3 linked regions of the Callithrix jacchus genome follow. The protein of the gene in region 3 interacts with the protein of the main gene of each other region in a biochemical or structural test. Links are inferred from orthologs where the notes say so. Each region holds a gene or a part of one and is shown on either strand. Other genes may lie near its edges.

Region 1 (3,500 bases), on a different chromosome or scaffold from region 3:
TTAGGGGAGCAATGGTAATGGAAAAATTTTAGCAAAATTTCTCTGACCCCCATGCAAAAAAGTATTTATGCTAGTCCCAGGGACCAACTCAAAGCATGCCTGACTCCCCAGTTAAAAATGGACCTGATATTAGTAAAATGCAAGGCTACTCTATGTCCAGACCAGTGGTTCTCAAAGTGTGGTTACTACACCAGCAGCATCAGGAACACCTAGGACCATGTCAGAAACTGAAATTCTTGAACCGCACCACAGACTTACTGAATCAGAAAATATGGCTGTGGGTCCCATTATTATGTCTTTTAATAAGCCCTTCTGCTGATTCTGATGCATAATCAAGTTTGAGAGCTGCTGGCTCTAAATGGTCACTACCAGCAGCCTTATGCTAATTAACATAGTATGTTTATTTACAAATTTAAAGTGAAATTGCATTTTGATTACGTAAAAGTGTAAAAATGACAGGATCTGTTTAGAAAAGATATAAAATTATTTAAGAGATTTGTGTCACTGGTTTATTTCTGGCCATATATATTATTGCATGTCCTCCAAAAAATGCAATTGAAATTTTTCCAAGTTTATAGCTGCCTTCAATATACTCCCCTGGAGTAGAATCCAGAGGGAAAAAATGAAATTCAGTTAGCATTCCATTGATCTACCTCTGGGAGGGACACAATGAAAAATATCCACGCACAAACTAATATACTCCTGTCATCATTCAAATGACAGCTAAGAGATTGAAACTTTGTTCCCAGCTTTATCATAAGGCTACTTTACTATACCTGATCTTTTCTTGCATGTAAGAAATATAGCATGTAATCATGCTATAATTATTTCATATTTGTTAACATTTTCCCCTAAATATAAATTATTTGAAGTCAGGGCCCATTTCTGTATTTCTTTCTTGTACATCTTTGATATACAAAGATGTCAAACAGTATCTAGCATATAGTAGATTTTAATATGATTGACTGTTGTGTTTTTTTCTAAGGACTTGAACAAGATAAATTGTCTCACTGCTTGTAATTTGTTATTACAATTGCAATTATAAAACAACTATTTGTTATTTTAAGTAAGATCTTAAATTTCTAAAAATTGGTTTAAATGAGTTTGATCCAAGATTGAAGTGGTATTCCAAATACTTAACATTTGGTATGGAATACAGGTGTGGATGTGTCCAAAGCACTGCAGGGATACCTGCTCCATACCCTATTGCAAGGAATATTTCCATATATATATATATATATATACACACACACACATACACATACATACACACACATACATATGTGTGTGTGTGTGTGTGTGTGTGATTTTTGAGGCATAATTTGAATTAATGGTTATTGTCTAGGTAAATAAAATTCTAGAGTTGATTGAACAACATGCAAAATAGTGTTTCTGATATGTTTCCCCATTTCAGATTTTAACAAAATGCAAAACATCTGAGCCCTTGTTTTATCTTCGGCCATAACACACACATAATACATGGGTTTCTACTCAATTCAAGATCTTTGTTTTTATTATTTTTTTTCTCGAAGTTGTCTGCAATTCCCATGCCAATCTGACCAGATGCTTCCGTGAGAGCCTGAGTTGGTTAGCAGTTTAGAACATTCACATACAAATGCCAGCAGCAGCCTGTGTGGTGGACTAATGGGTGAACAACAGAGGAGATTACAGAATTGGAAAAGATGCTTTGCCAGCCCTTGAAACGATGGTGACGGAACCACTGTGGCTCTATTTACTAGCAATAGAAGGATAACAAAGCTATTCAATGTCTGGAGGAAACATTCCAAAAACCGTGGTAATGATGTTCTGCAGTGGATTTGAAAACAAAAGCAGAATACTTACTGAGCCATAGAGTTTCCCCTTCTTGTTCATGGCTAAGTAATAGTTGCTGTTAATGGCTTTCACAGCAACAACTCCGATTTCTACTGATGTTATCTCCAGTATGCCTAAAACATACAATTTTAAAAGGGTAAATATAGAGAATCCTAAATACATTTGGGAAAAAAAAAGTAAAATCAAAAGAAACTATCGAGGTTTTGTTTTGTTTTTGTTTTTGTTTTTGGTGGTTCTAAAATCAAAAGGCTTAAAACATTGGTAAATAAACAAGCGAACCTTTTTTCAATGTGTTTTAAAACCCAGCAAAAGTATTCCCAGCAAATATATGGAGAAAAGTAATACGGCTTTAAAAGAATTCCCCTTCATTTTACTCTGAGCATACATAGAAAAATATTGTTTTAATTAAAATGCTTCCTTTGCTAACTCTGCATTTTCAACCCTATAAATATTGAAACAACTCTACTCATCTTAGCCTAGATTTCAAAATAACTTATCAGAGCCCATATCTGTGGTATTAAATTAAATCTATAGCACATGTCAATAATATGCCCGATTACCTCAATCTGTAAAAACAGTGGTAAACTATTTCTTCTTTGTAGTACATAGATAAACTCAATCTCTTGGCTGCATTTAACTGATAAATTCATTGTTGGCAAATGTGTTGACATTCTGAGATACAGAGAGACTAATCCCAATATCTACACTGTCTCTGAAATAGCGGAATCACTGCTCTTTCATGTTAGAGGAAAATCCACCAACATGGATTTTTAAAGTTTTTTTTCCCTAGGAAAAATGAAATTCAGGGAAGTAGTAAGAGATAGACAAGAGTTCCTTTTCCCCTTATACACAAGTTTTGATTGCTGCATCTAAAGATAATTTTCTTGGAAAAGTTTGTAGATCACTATAGGGAAGGCAGTTTATACTCTGCTCAAAGTGCTTACTCATTTTAGTTTAAGAAGACCTAAGGAACTAAAACTACTTATTTCATAACTCTCAGCAAAGTTTGTTCAGGGTAGAGAAGTAGCATTGTGATTAGCATGTGGCCTCTGGAGCCAAAATGTCCAGGTTTAACTACTGGCTCTACATTTATTAGTGAATTACCACAGGAGAAGTTACTGAACTCTCCCGTGACTCAATTTTATCTGTAAAATGGGCAACATAATAGTACCTCCCTCATAATTTTGTTGTGAATATTAAATGATATAGTACCTTTAAAATTATTAGAATTTGCCTGGAGCTTAGTATCTTCTTAATTATCATTAGAGGGGAGTTTTCTCCAACAGTTCTAGATTTTGGAAATTCTTCAGTGGGCTATGTAAATCCTGAACAATACATACAAATTCACATTGGCTTAGTACATAAAATATGAAAGTTGAGCATGTTATCATTTGTCATGTATCATGAGAAACACCATCCTAAATGTAGTCTACAGATTATATGTTTACACTCTGCCCGTAGACATAGAGTGGCTTAGCTTATTCTCAAGAGATGCATACCTTTGCTCCTATTCCTTCACAGGTTAGCCTTGCAAAGGCTAATAGAAATGCTTGAGTTTCCCTATTGCAAAGTTGACATGACCAGAGACTGCCAAGACTAAATGTCAGAAAGCCTTCTGTCTGTGTATCTGTAGGAAGTCTTTGGCCTAACACAGCACTCCTTTTCAT
Region 2 (2,922 bases), on a different chromosome or scaffold from region 3:
GGATGGGCAATTTTTTTCTAATTTCTTACAGCCTGTGAACCACAAGAAAATCAAATGAATCTATTGTTTCTTTTGACATAGTATATTCATATATCTCTCATTTATAAATGTATTACCAAATACTATTTATGTAAAGGGACTTGAATGACAAATATTTTGAAATTAAAACCACAATGGTTAGCATACCTTTTAATTTAGATAAATGTTGACTTCCTATTGGTGAACATATAAAGTGCTACCAAGATCTACCTATGAAAGAATTTTGAAGTGGAAATTCATCTTTGTAATAATCCTGTTACCTGTAGGCTGCCCTCAAGCCTTCATGACATTCAGGGCCCCTTATTCCTAACTGTATCTTCTATTTTGGGCATTGTGCTCTTGCCATCTAACAGGAAAACAACTTCCAGTGCTGCCACCTTTTGAATAGCAGAGATTTCTAAAGATTAGAAAATTACTGCATTTAAATATACATAGTTTTAAAATAAGATACTTTTCTATTCATGCATTCAAATATATTCTAACTTTAAAATCCTATAAATTCTTTTATTTGTAATGCCTTTACTTATATGATCCAATTAATTGTTAGGAAAATGTGGCAAAGATTTTTTACATATTTGTATTGTTCCGTGTCAGACATTTATTGTAAGCATTGCTTCAGGCTCTCATTTTTGTCTGCCTTCCAAGATTTGCTGGCCCAAGTGCTATGTGCTAGACTTGATGTCAGTCACAAAGCGGGAGGGAAACTTGCAGTTGAGCCAGACAGTGTTGTTATTCCTTTAAAATTGAAAGCATATGAAACAGATACAGCTTATTAAGGTTGTTTTTTTTTTTATAAATAACATAAACTTAAATAACAAAACAGTAAAGTTCAAATACAACTTAAAATAGAGTTTAATGCTGTAACCATAGGAAAAAAGCATGATTATTTGTGGGAAGAACATTATTAAAAGCCATATTCCCAAAGATGAATTATACAAAGATAGATTATGTTACTTGAAAAAAACTTAAGGATTTCTCAGTTTTACCTGGAGGAATTATAAAATGTTAATTTTGTGGCAAGTGACATGAAGTACAGTATTATCCTCAATCACTGTTACTATTTTATATACAAGATTTTTGGAAACATCCTTTTAGCAATGCCTTTTCCACTTGAGAAGCATTAGGAATTTTGTTCTTGTTAATAGGTATAAGCATGTTCTAATCCTATACTTTGGTTAAATCATCTATTTTATTGACTTTAATAATAGATTATTTTTGAGGATTTTTTTTCTGATTAGAGTTTAAGTGGATTATAATTTTTTATTAGAAAGCATTTAAAATACTGTTCATCTTCCATAGTTAATGTGGCTTGATTATCTGACAAATCCTGCCAACAGCCTTTAGGTCTGACATATCTTATATAACATAATCTGCATTATTATTATTATAGCAGCCATTTTTTAAGCAGATAGGAATATTTAAATAATTATCAGATCAAATCTAACATACTCTTAAGGGTAAATTAATTTAAGAAAAAATGACTATTACTAACACCATGATTGTACAACCAGTTTTACAATTTTTTACAACCTTTAGTTACTAAATCAGATTTTTGTGTATACTTTTCAAATCTTACTTTAATGCAGTGTCTTAAACATAAATGCGCAAGTCCAGCTTGATCAGTTTTTCAGTAGTTTTCCAGCCTTTCTTGGTTACTAAAAAATAAAAGGAAAGAAAATTTTGAAAAGAAAGAAAACAGTCCACTTAAAGAACTCCCTGCTGGAATTGTTTCTTTATATACCATATACAATTAAGTTATTGCCATAGGAAGAAAGTGGGCTGTTTTTTGTTCTTTCTTCGTTTTTTTTCCTCTTACAGGAATCCCCTTTTGATTTAAGGCAACAAACATTTCCCCTCCATTGTGTGTCCATTTAGCTGATGCATATGTGTTGTAGTGGTTTTCTAAAATTAGTTCTTTGAAGTTACAATCTTCATTGCAGTCTTTCTGTTAAAACAAACAAACAAACATTATCCAAATGATTTGTAGAGGGGCTCAATTTAAACAGAGAGTAAGCAGGTAATATTTGGTAGAATTGAAACATACATGAGTTTTTTTAACCCTCAGGTGGAGCAGGTCTAATGTGGTTTATTAGCAATACCTATGTAGTATGTTTGCATAGAAAGGTATCTTAAATTTAAAACAGAAAAACAACATAATACACAGTTGGTTATGAAATATGTGTAGCTTTTTGGCAGTACATGTCAACTGTTCTTTAAAATTAGGACCTATTTTCCTAAGTAGCAGGCCTCATATTACTATTCCCACATCACTCATTGTTTAACCACTGGGAATTTGGTGTAGCTAGCAGAACCTCTGCCTCCCTCAGGTGAGAGACTTGTTTCACAACTTTTCTTTATTTACTTTTATATTGTCTCCAATGGTAATGGAAGATAAAAGGTTAATTTGTATGTTCATCCATGCAACCATTTTTTCATTCAGTTAAACCTATATTATTATATAATTAGTCTGTGCCAGGCATTATGCTGAGCTGTGAATACAAAGGAAAGCCAATTATATTTTATTATAGTGGGATGAACTGTTACATATTTTGCATTGTAGTGAAGTGGGAACAATGTGAATAATTAAAGTTCAAAGCCCATGGTTGTGAGATTGATGTTGATAAATGAACTAAACACTTCAGGATATTTTTTCCCAAGAATTTTCATGTCAGCAATTTGCAAATTGGGTGAACTTTAACAAAAAGAGCTTTAATACTAGCAAATGGAAATTTTGGATTTTAAATATCTAAAATGCACATGGAATTTTAGAGCTGGAAGGATCCTTAGAGGTCAGTTAATTCAACTCATTTTATAGACGAAGAAACCAAAGACTAAAGAACAGGCTATTTCTCCAAAGTCACACCGAAAACATTTTTTCTTAAT
Region 3 (6,847 bases):
TGTTGGAGGCATCTGCTCACAGCTCCCTATTTCTGCTGGGCTGGAGCGGAGCTGAGCTGAGCCGTCTGTCCCACCCTCACTGGAGCTCTCGGGAAGAAAGGAGATCAGCAAAATCAAAAGAATCCCAGGAAGGCTACAGAAAATTCCCACCAGTTTACACTTGTCAGGATTCATTTTCGAATGGAGAAGTGTATTTCAGTCTTCCGCCAAGCAGCCACTTACGAAGAGTGAACACAACTGCGGCGCATTCAACGCAGCTGATCTAAAAGGGACTTTGAAGCCTGAATTCCCTTCCCCTGGGACCAAATGGCAGTCCCGGCCTGTGAAATGTCTTCAACCTCTGTAGAAGGATTAGGAAACTGAGCAGATGCAAATTCTGATGAATAACGCAGGAATTTATTAATAATGATGATGTAAATTACAGTCATGGCCTGTGATTGGACCAATAACTTTCAATATGCTCACCTATTGGCTAAATTTTCAGAGTATAGTTAGAAGAGGACACTCAAATTACTATTCTGTTCTGTTCACCCATTTGATCCAGGGAAAGAGAATTTTCCAAGCTTCATATATTCCAAATAACTTTAATTTCACTCAGTTCCCTCTGTGACTAAGTGTAGTGTCAAAATGCACAAACTTTAGAAAATAATTAAAACAATCACAAGAAGAGATACATCAAACTCAGGCTTCAGAATCTGTGAACCGCAGGAATGAACCACATTTATAAGACTGGGGGTTGGAGAGAGGCCTTTAATACAAAAATCTCTAAACTCCACATTTTTTATGTACCCACTGGATTTCAAGTTATGACATAGGATTTCAGCACTGCTGAAGCCTCCCCAAATCTCATCAGAAAAACTGCTCCTTTTAGCTTTTTTGTGACGATAAAAATGGATGAGGAAAAAGAATATGCCACACCATTTCCAAAGGAGGAATAAAGAAAACCTCTGCTTCAAAGGTAGCACAGGTGAAACGGTGTGATTCACAGCAAAAGCAAGAAAAGTATGTGTGCAGCTTGTGTGTCTACACAGTGCGTGTGTGTGCATGGTGTGTACGTGTGCTTTCAGATTGCTCGAAGGATTTTTCCTCCTAACTTTTCTTTCCTCTTAAAGTCAAGAGCCTGAAAAGATAATTTCAGATCTATTTCTACATACATGTGGGAGGAAAGTACACATTCTCATTGATTTACTAAGCATTTCCAGAATGCAGGGGAATTTTCTACCTTTAACACGACTTCAGGAACAATCCTGAGTCCTGGCAGAGGTTTCGCCCCAGGCTCCTTCCCCAGCCTCCTCGCCCACCTGTCCATGCCAGAGGAACCTTGTTAGCTTCAGGCAGAGAAAGGTGGACAGGGCCGTCCACTGAATCTCAAGCCATTCCAACATCCCGCTAGCCCGCACTGGAGATTTGCATTTCAGCCATTTCCAGGTCCAAGCTCCACAGCAGCCCCCTCCCCAAACCTCTGGAAGGTGGAGACCTAAGGCGACAGGTCTTCACAGTTCCTCACCGAGTGGACAAAAGTATGGTACGACCTCCTAGGCAGGATAATTAGGTCCCCAGGCTCGGTGTTGGGAACACAGGCCCAGCATGCCGCTGGCGGCCACAATCCCGGCTTCCTGCCTTCAATACCATAATCCTTCCTGGAGTCTGAGCCCCAGTGAAAGCCCCAGCGTGTTTATTTTTCCCCTTGAAAGGGAACTCTCTTCTCAGCCCGCACGCGGGAGGCGTTGTCACCCTCCCTCTGATGGATGGCTCTTCTCGGCCGCCCGCCCCCCACCCTCCCTCCACCCCGTCCATTTTCACCTCGGCACAAGCCTGCCCCCAAAGACAGGCAGAGTGACAAGCAGGAAGGGCTTGGCTGCGGAGTGGTCCCCATGCCAGGCCTGTGCTGCACTCTTCAATTTTACCATATTTCCAAAATCCCGACCCTCTAAGAAGGCAGGCCAGTACAGAGCCCTCCGCTTTGGGCTTCCACGTAAGAGGTGATAGGTCCACTGCTGGCTCGGCCACAGGGAACACTGCTGTTTTGTTCCTGGGTAGATTTCACATCAGGAAAGTCACAGTGCCCGGCTCCTCCAAAGCGCAGACCCATCTCTTCGCTTAAGGCCTCCCTACCTCTTCCCAGCTGAGGAGGAAAGGGAGCTGTCAAGGGGTCAAGTCTAGGGGAGAAATTCCTCAACAAATCGAAATCTCAAAAATCACAAACTGGGCCAGGACCCCAATACCCTCCCAGTTTCATGCTTGCGTCCAATCAGAACTCGCAGGCAGCTTGGGGGTGCTCCCCACCACCACCCCTTTCGGGACAGCACTTCTTTCATTTGTTTGCCCGAAATATCCTGTTTTTCTCCCCCTTCTCGGGGCGCTAAAGAGCTCAGAGAAATCTGCATTTTAATTGACATTCCAGGGAGAGGGAGAGGGGCGCCTGATTGCTTTTCTATTCAAACTAAACAGGCTTTTCAGATGAAAATGAGTCGAGGCCGGTGGAAGATTTACACGGATTTGGGACCCGGGGACAATGAAGTTTTAAATGTTGATAGCATTTCACACCAAACACATAATGGGTGCCCTGAGTTTCAAAGCAGGTTTGCCTTTAACGGTAGGTTTGATTGAATTGGGAGAAAGGAAAGAAGGTCTGGAGAACGGTTTGCAAGGGAGCGGGCTGTGAGGGGAGCGACCGAGGCTAGTGGCCCCCGGGCCGGCCTCCTGCGCCAGGTCCGCGGGCCGCGAGGGTCGGAGCCAGCGCCACGCAGGGCCCTCGGCTGATTTCCCCAGCGCGGCCCAGTCGCCGAAAGAATGAGCGCGCAAGTTAGAACTCGCCTGCGCTTTCGACATCTCCCAGCCGCTGCGGCAGAGCAGGCAGGCGAACTAGAAAAAGTCGGTCCAGTTCGCCCCCTAGCCCCAGGCGCGCTGCGCTCCCTCCAGCGCCTACAGCGGCTGCGGGCTAGGGGCGCCCAGGCATCGAAAACCGGGCACCGGAGCCGCCGCCTCCCCAACAGTGCCACGCCTGGCCATCACCACCCCTACGGGATGTCAGCGGCCCCACCCCAGCTGCCCCCTCCCGAGACAGGGGTCTCCGCGGGGCCTGGATGGTACGGAAGCTCCCAGGACCCGCGGATGGGGCACCTCGGAGATGCTCCGCGGGACCCGGGCTGCGGGGCTGTGCCATCGGCAGGCGAACCCTCCGCCCGTCTGCTCTGGGGTTGGAGGAACGCGCCCAGCCAGAGGGAAAGCGCCCGCCAGGGTTTGACAGGGAGGGGGGCGTCTGCACCAGAGGCAGATGTCAGCATCTGGATGAAGGTGGCAAAGGCAGAACTTCCCCAACAAGGGCCGTCAGCACGCACCCACCTCCCCATCACCTATGCAGCCACCTAGGAAGGCCAGGGGGCGTCCCCCACAATGCCAGTCCTTCCGCGCCCCCCGCCCGGAGGACGCTGCACCCGACGTCCCGGGCTCCCTTGGCGCTCACTTCCCCCGCTGGCGGAGAAGCTCCCAGAGGCGTCTTCCGCGGCGATTACCTTGAATGGCAACGCTCCTCCGCGATCTGTGTTGTCCCCGCGCCCCGCGTGGGTCGGGATGGAGAAAGCGACGAGCCCGGGGTTGCGGGGAGCAACTCCAAAAGCAGAAGAGGGATCCCCAGGTCTTCGCCCGCGCCAAGGCTCCCGGACTTCACGCGCACCACAGGCTGCGGAGGAGCGCGGGCATGACGCTTGCGGGCTGCCCTCGGATTTGGGGAGCCACAGGAAGAAAGGACTCAGGCTTGGCGTTGCCTCCACCAAACTTTGCTCGCGAGTTGCGAAGGCTCAGAGCGCGCAGGCAAGCTGCGGCCTCTGGGCCCCCGGGGCGCGCGGCCGGCCCCCGCCAGCCCGGAGAGCAGTCCCCGCGCCTGGCCAGGTACGCCGCATGCAGCCCCGCGGCGCCCGAGCTTTGTGGCTGCCGCGCGCGCTCGCTCGTCCGCTCCGCACCCACCGCCCGCCCGCTCGGCTCTCCACCGCGCTCTCCTGCGGCCGCCGCCCGCGCCGCCGCCGCCGCCTCCTCCCGGCGGGTCACGCCCCCGCTGAAACCCGAGCCGTTTCCTGGACGGCGGCGCCCGCTCTGCCAATCAGCGCCGCGCACCCGGGCCGCCCCGAGCCCCGCGCGGCTCACGACGCCTCCGAGCCCTCGCCCGAGACACGGGCCGGGGAGGCGAGGGCCCAGCCGCGATCCGGCCGTGGGGATGCAGCGACAGCCTCCGAATAAGGCCTGGTCCCGCGCCCCGCGCGACCTCCTCCCTCTTCCTCGGGCGAGCGCGGCTGGCCAGCGGCTCCCGGAGCGGCCGCGTTAAGTACAAGTGACCGAAGGCTCTAACCCTGCCCACCCCCTAAAGAGACTTTAAAATGGGTCTGCTTTTGGTACTGCGGGGAGGGTTGTCAGGCAACTGAAGCTTTCGGAGGAGAGGAAGCAGCCTGGAAATGTTCGCAGGACATTGCATTTTTCTGTCTTTCTAAACAACAGAAATGAGAGGAAAAAACTGAATATTAATGGGGGCCCTACTATGGGCGGGTCACACTACATAGGTGATTCTATTTCGCCTGCCCAACCACCCTGCAGAGTAATATTCCCAGTTTCTGATAAGGAAACTGAAGATCAGAGATGTTCAGTAATTTGCCTAGGATCACACAGCTGGCTATTGAGAGAGCCTGACTTTGAATGTGGCTCTCTCAGAAAAAGCCAAAAATTGCATTCAAAAAAATAAGTGTTTAGTAGTATATGTTTGGATTAATTAAAAGAAATTCAAAGAAGTCTAAAGATTCAACTCTGCCATAAGTAGCTGATCTTGAGCAAGCTAATTCCTCCCTCTGAATCCTAGATTCAAAATCATAAATGCAAAATCTGATTCTTCAAGTCCACACCAAGCTGTAACTGGCTAAAGTTCCTATTTCCATTTACCCTTTTCCCTAAGCCGTGTCTTCGGATTCATTCATTTTAAATATGCTTTTTCTTCCTCCTTATTCATCCAGCTCCAGAGCAGCCGTGCTCGGTTCAAGACGGTATAGATTAAAACCTTAATTATTTTTCTTTAGAAAAGGTCACTAAACCCAGAAATGCTTTAGAATCCTTTTGAGGCCTGAAGATAGATGAAGCATTGAGAACAAACCTGACTTGGAAAACAGACTTTTCCTGCCCTTAGAAACATATTTGCACCTGCGTCACTAGCATTGCATACTTCCTAACATTTACAAAAATTTTTTTTCAAGGTGCCACATGATTAGAAAATCATTTTTATTCACAGTATAGCACAGAAAACATTGATGCGAGTTACTTAAAAGCCACACGACAAATCAATCCCTTTAACTGCCTCACGCAAAAGGCTGTAATATTGGATTTGGGGAGTTTGATGGCAACAAAATAAAAACTGGCTCTTAAACAAAATGATGCCTCCATATGCTTGGTGGGAGGGTGTTTTTGGTCGGGGCCTCTAACCTGAATCAGTCCCAGAGCCTATATTAACAGACACCTCAGGACAGGTGACACTTAGCCATTCACTGCCACCTGGGTTGTTCTGAACCTAGCAGTATGTTTTCAAGTTCTCAGAAAAGGGATGCAGCTGAATGTGTCTGCCTGCTTTCAGGCTGCCTCTTACATCTTTACATTCCCCTCCAATGGGAAACTCAAAATATCTCAGGACAGATTCCTTTCCCATCCTGCACCGTATCCATCAGCCATTGAAAATGCTGTTAACACATTCTCACATAAATTAATGGTGCAGGAAGCCACTGTCCCTATCCCCATTCATCAATAGCTTTATGCACACTGAATGGAAGGAAGCCTTCCACTGAAAATGACAAATAAGAACACCTACTCTAATGTCCAGGCACAGTTTGCAGAATGTATTTTTTATGGAGATGAAAAGACACCCATCTATCAAAAGCTCCTTATTCCCTAAAGAGTGCTAATTTCTAAGGGAGTGAAACCCACAAGCCCACAACAGCAAACTCTTCAGTTTTGAAAAAAAAACAACAACAACACACAAAAGCATGTTTAGGATTATTTTTTAAAAATCAATTCTGTCCTCATATGTAGTCTTGAAGTGACCTCCAACAGTCCAGGAAAACCTTCACACCAGCGAGACTTCTGAATGAGAAAATAATCTCTTTACAGTTTTTTTTTTTTTCCTTTTTCTCTTCCCTCTTCAAGTGGCTGGAACCCCTTTCGTCAATGGCCTCCCATGAATGGTGTTGCTAATAAAGCCTATTAATGAGCTTCCACCGCGGAGTGTGAATAGGTAAATAAGCCCCAATCTGCTGAGGTTCTGGGGCAAGGGCAGAAAAGCCAGTCAGAACTAAAGGTGACAGTTTGAACTGAACTGCGAACGCCAGCACCAGGTTTCAGCTGAAAGAACCGCCAGACAAGGACACATTCACAGTCCCTCCACCCCCTACCGAGGCCTCTTTTCTTCACAGTTTTCCCCCCTTTACAAAATGTCTTGAGTAGTCACCCTTTTTTTTTTCTCAAAAGCCCTCGAGACGCCCTTCTTTTTTCACTCTAGTAATGATACATCAATGGGAAGGAAGAAAAATGAGGACACCAGAACTCCGATGCCCCCAAAATTTCAAGAAACAAATTATGCTGCTGGCCCATTGGTGATGGGAAGAGAAAAAGACGGGGTGGGAATGCTTGCTGCCACGGGCCTCTCTCCCTTGAAGATTTGGAATTTTTCTTTTAATAATTTGTTTTGTGATGGGTGGCTGTTCCTTCACTCTATGGAAACGATAGATGAATAACGGCTCTGACGTGAAGTGCTCATGAACCTTCCCGGGTGGATCTGAGCTCCCTGCAGCACTAGGAATTTCATTCTCTGAGCTACGTC

The links.
Region 1: the proteins of FGFR2 (region 3) and FGF10 are reported together in a solved structure, tested with the Homo sapiens proteins (3 studies listed by BioGRID and IntAct, with this or other methods). The link is inferred for Callithrix jacchus from reciprocal best matches to the Homo sapiens genes FGFR2 and FGF10.
Region 2: the proteins of FGFR2 (region 3) and FGF7 form a complex in vitro, tested with the Homo sapiens proteins (3 studies listed by BioGRID). The link is inferred for Callithrix jacchus from reciprocal best matches to the Homo sapiens genes FGFR2 and FGF7.

What each region holds. Positions count from the first base shown.
Region 1 is NC_133503.1:161,144,264-161,147,763, reverse strand, and holds part of FGF10 (fibroblast growth factor 10), read right to left. Parts: intron 1,947-3,500; coding exon 1,843-1,946; intron 1-1,842. UniProt on the Homo sapiens protein: Plays an important role in the regulation of embryonic development, cell proliferation and cell differentiation. Required for normal branching morphogenesis. May play a role in wound healing.
Region 2 is NC_133509.1:37,194,339-37,197,260, reverse strand, and holds part of FGF7 (fibroblast growth factor 7), read right to left. Parts: intron 1,985-2,922; coding exon 1,790-1,984; 3' UTR 1-1,789. UniProt on the Homo sapiens protein: Plays an important role in the regulation of embryonic development, cell proliferation and cell differentiation. Required for normal branching morphogenesis. Growth factor active on keratinocytes.
Region 3 is NC_133513.1:115,005,080-115,011,926, forward strand, and holds the start of FGFR2 (fibroblast growth factor receptor 2), read right to left. Parts: upstream 3,993-6,847; 5' UTR 3,516-3,992; intron 2,194-3,515; exon of another isoform or gene 1,804-2,193; intron 1,650-1,803; exon of another isoform or gene 1,223-1,649; intron 372-1,222; exon of another isoform or gene 1-371. UniProt on the Homo sapiens protein: Tyrosine-protein kinase that acts as a cell-surface receptor for fibroblast growth factors and plays an essential role in the regulation of cell proliferation, differentiation, migration and apoptosis, and in the regulation of embryonic development.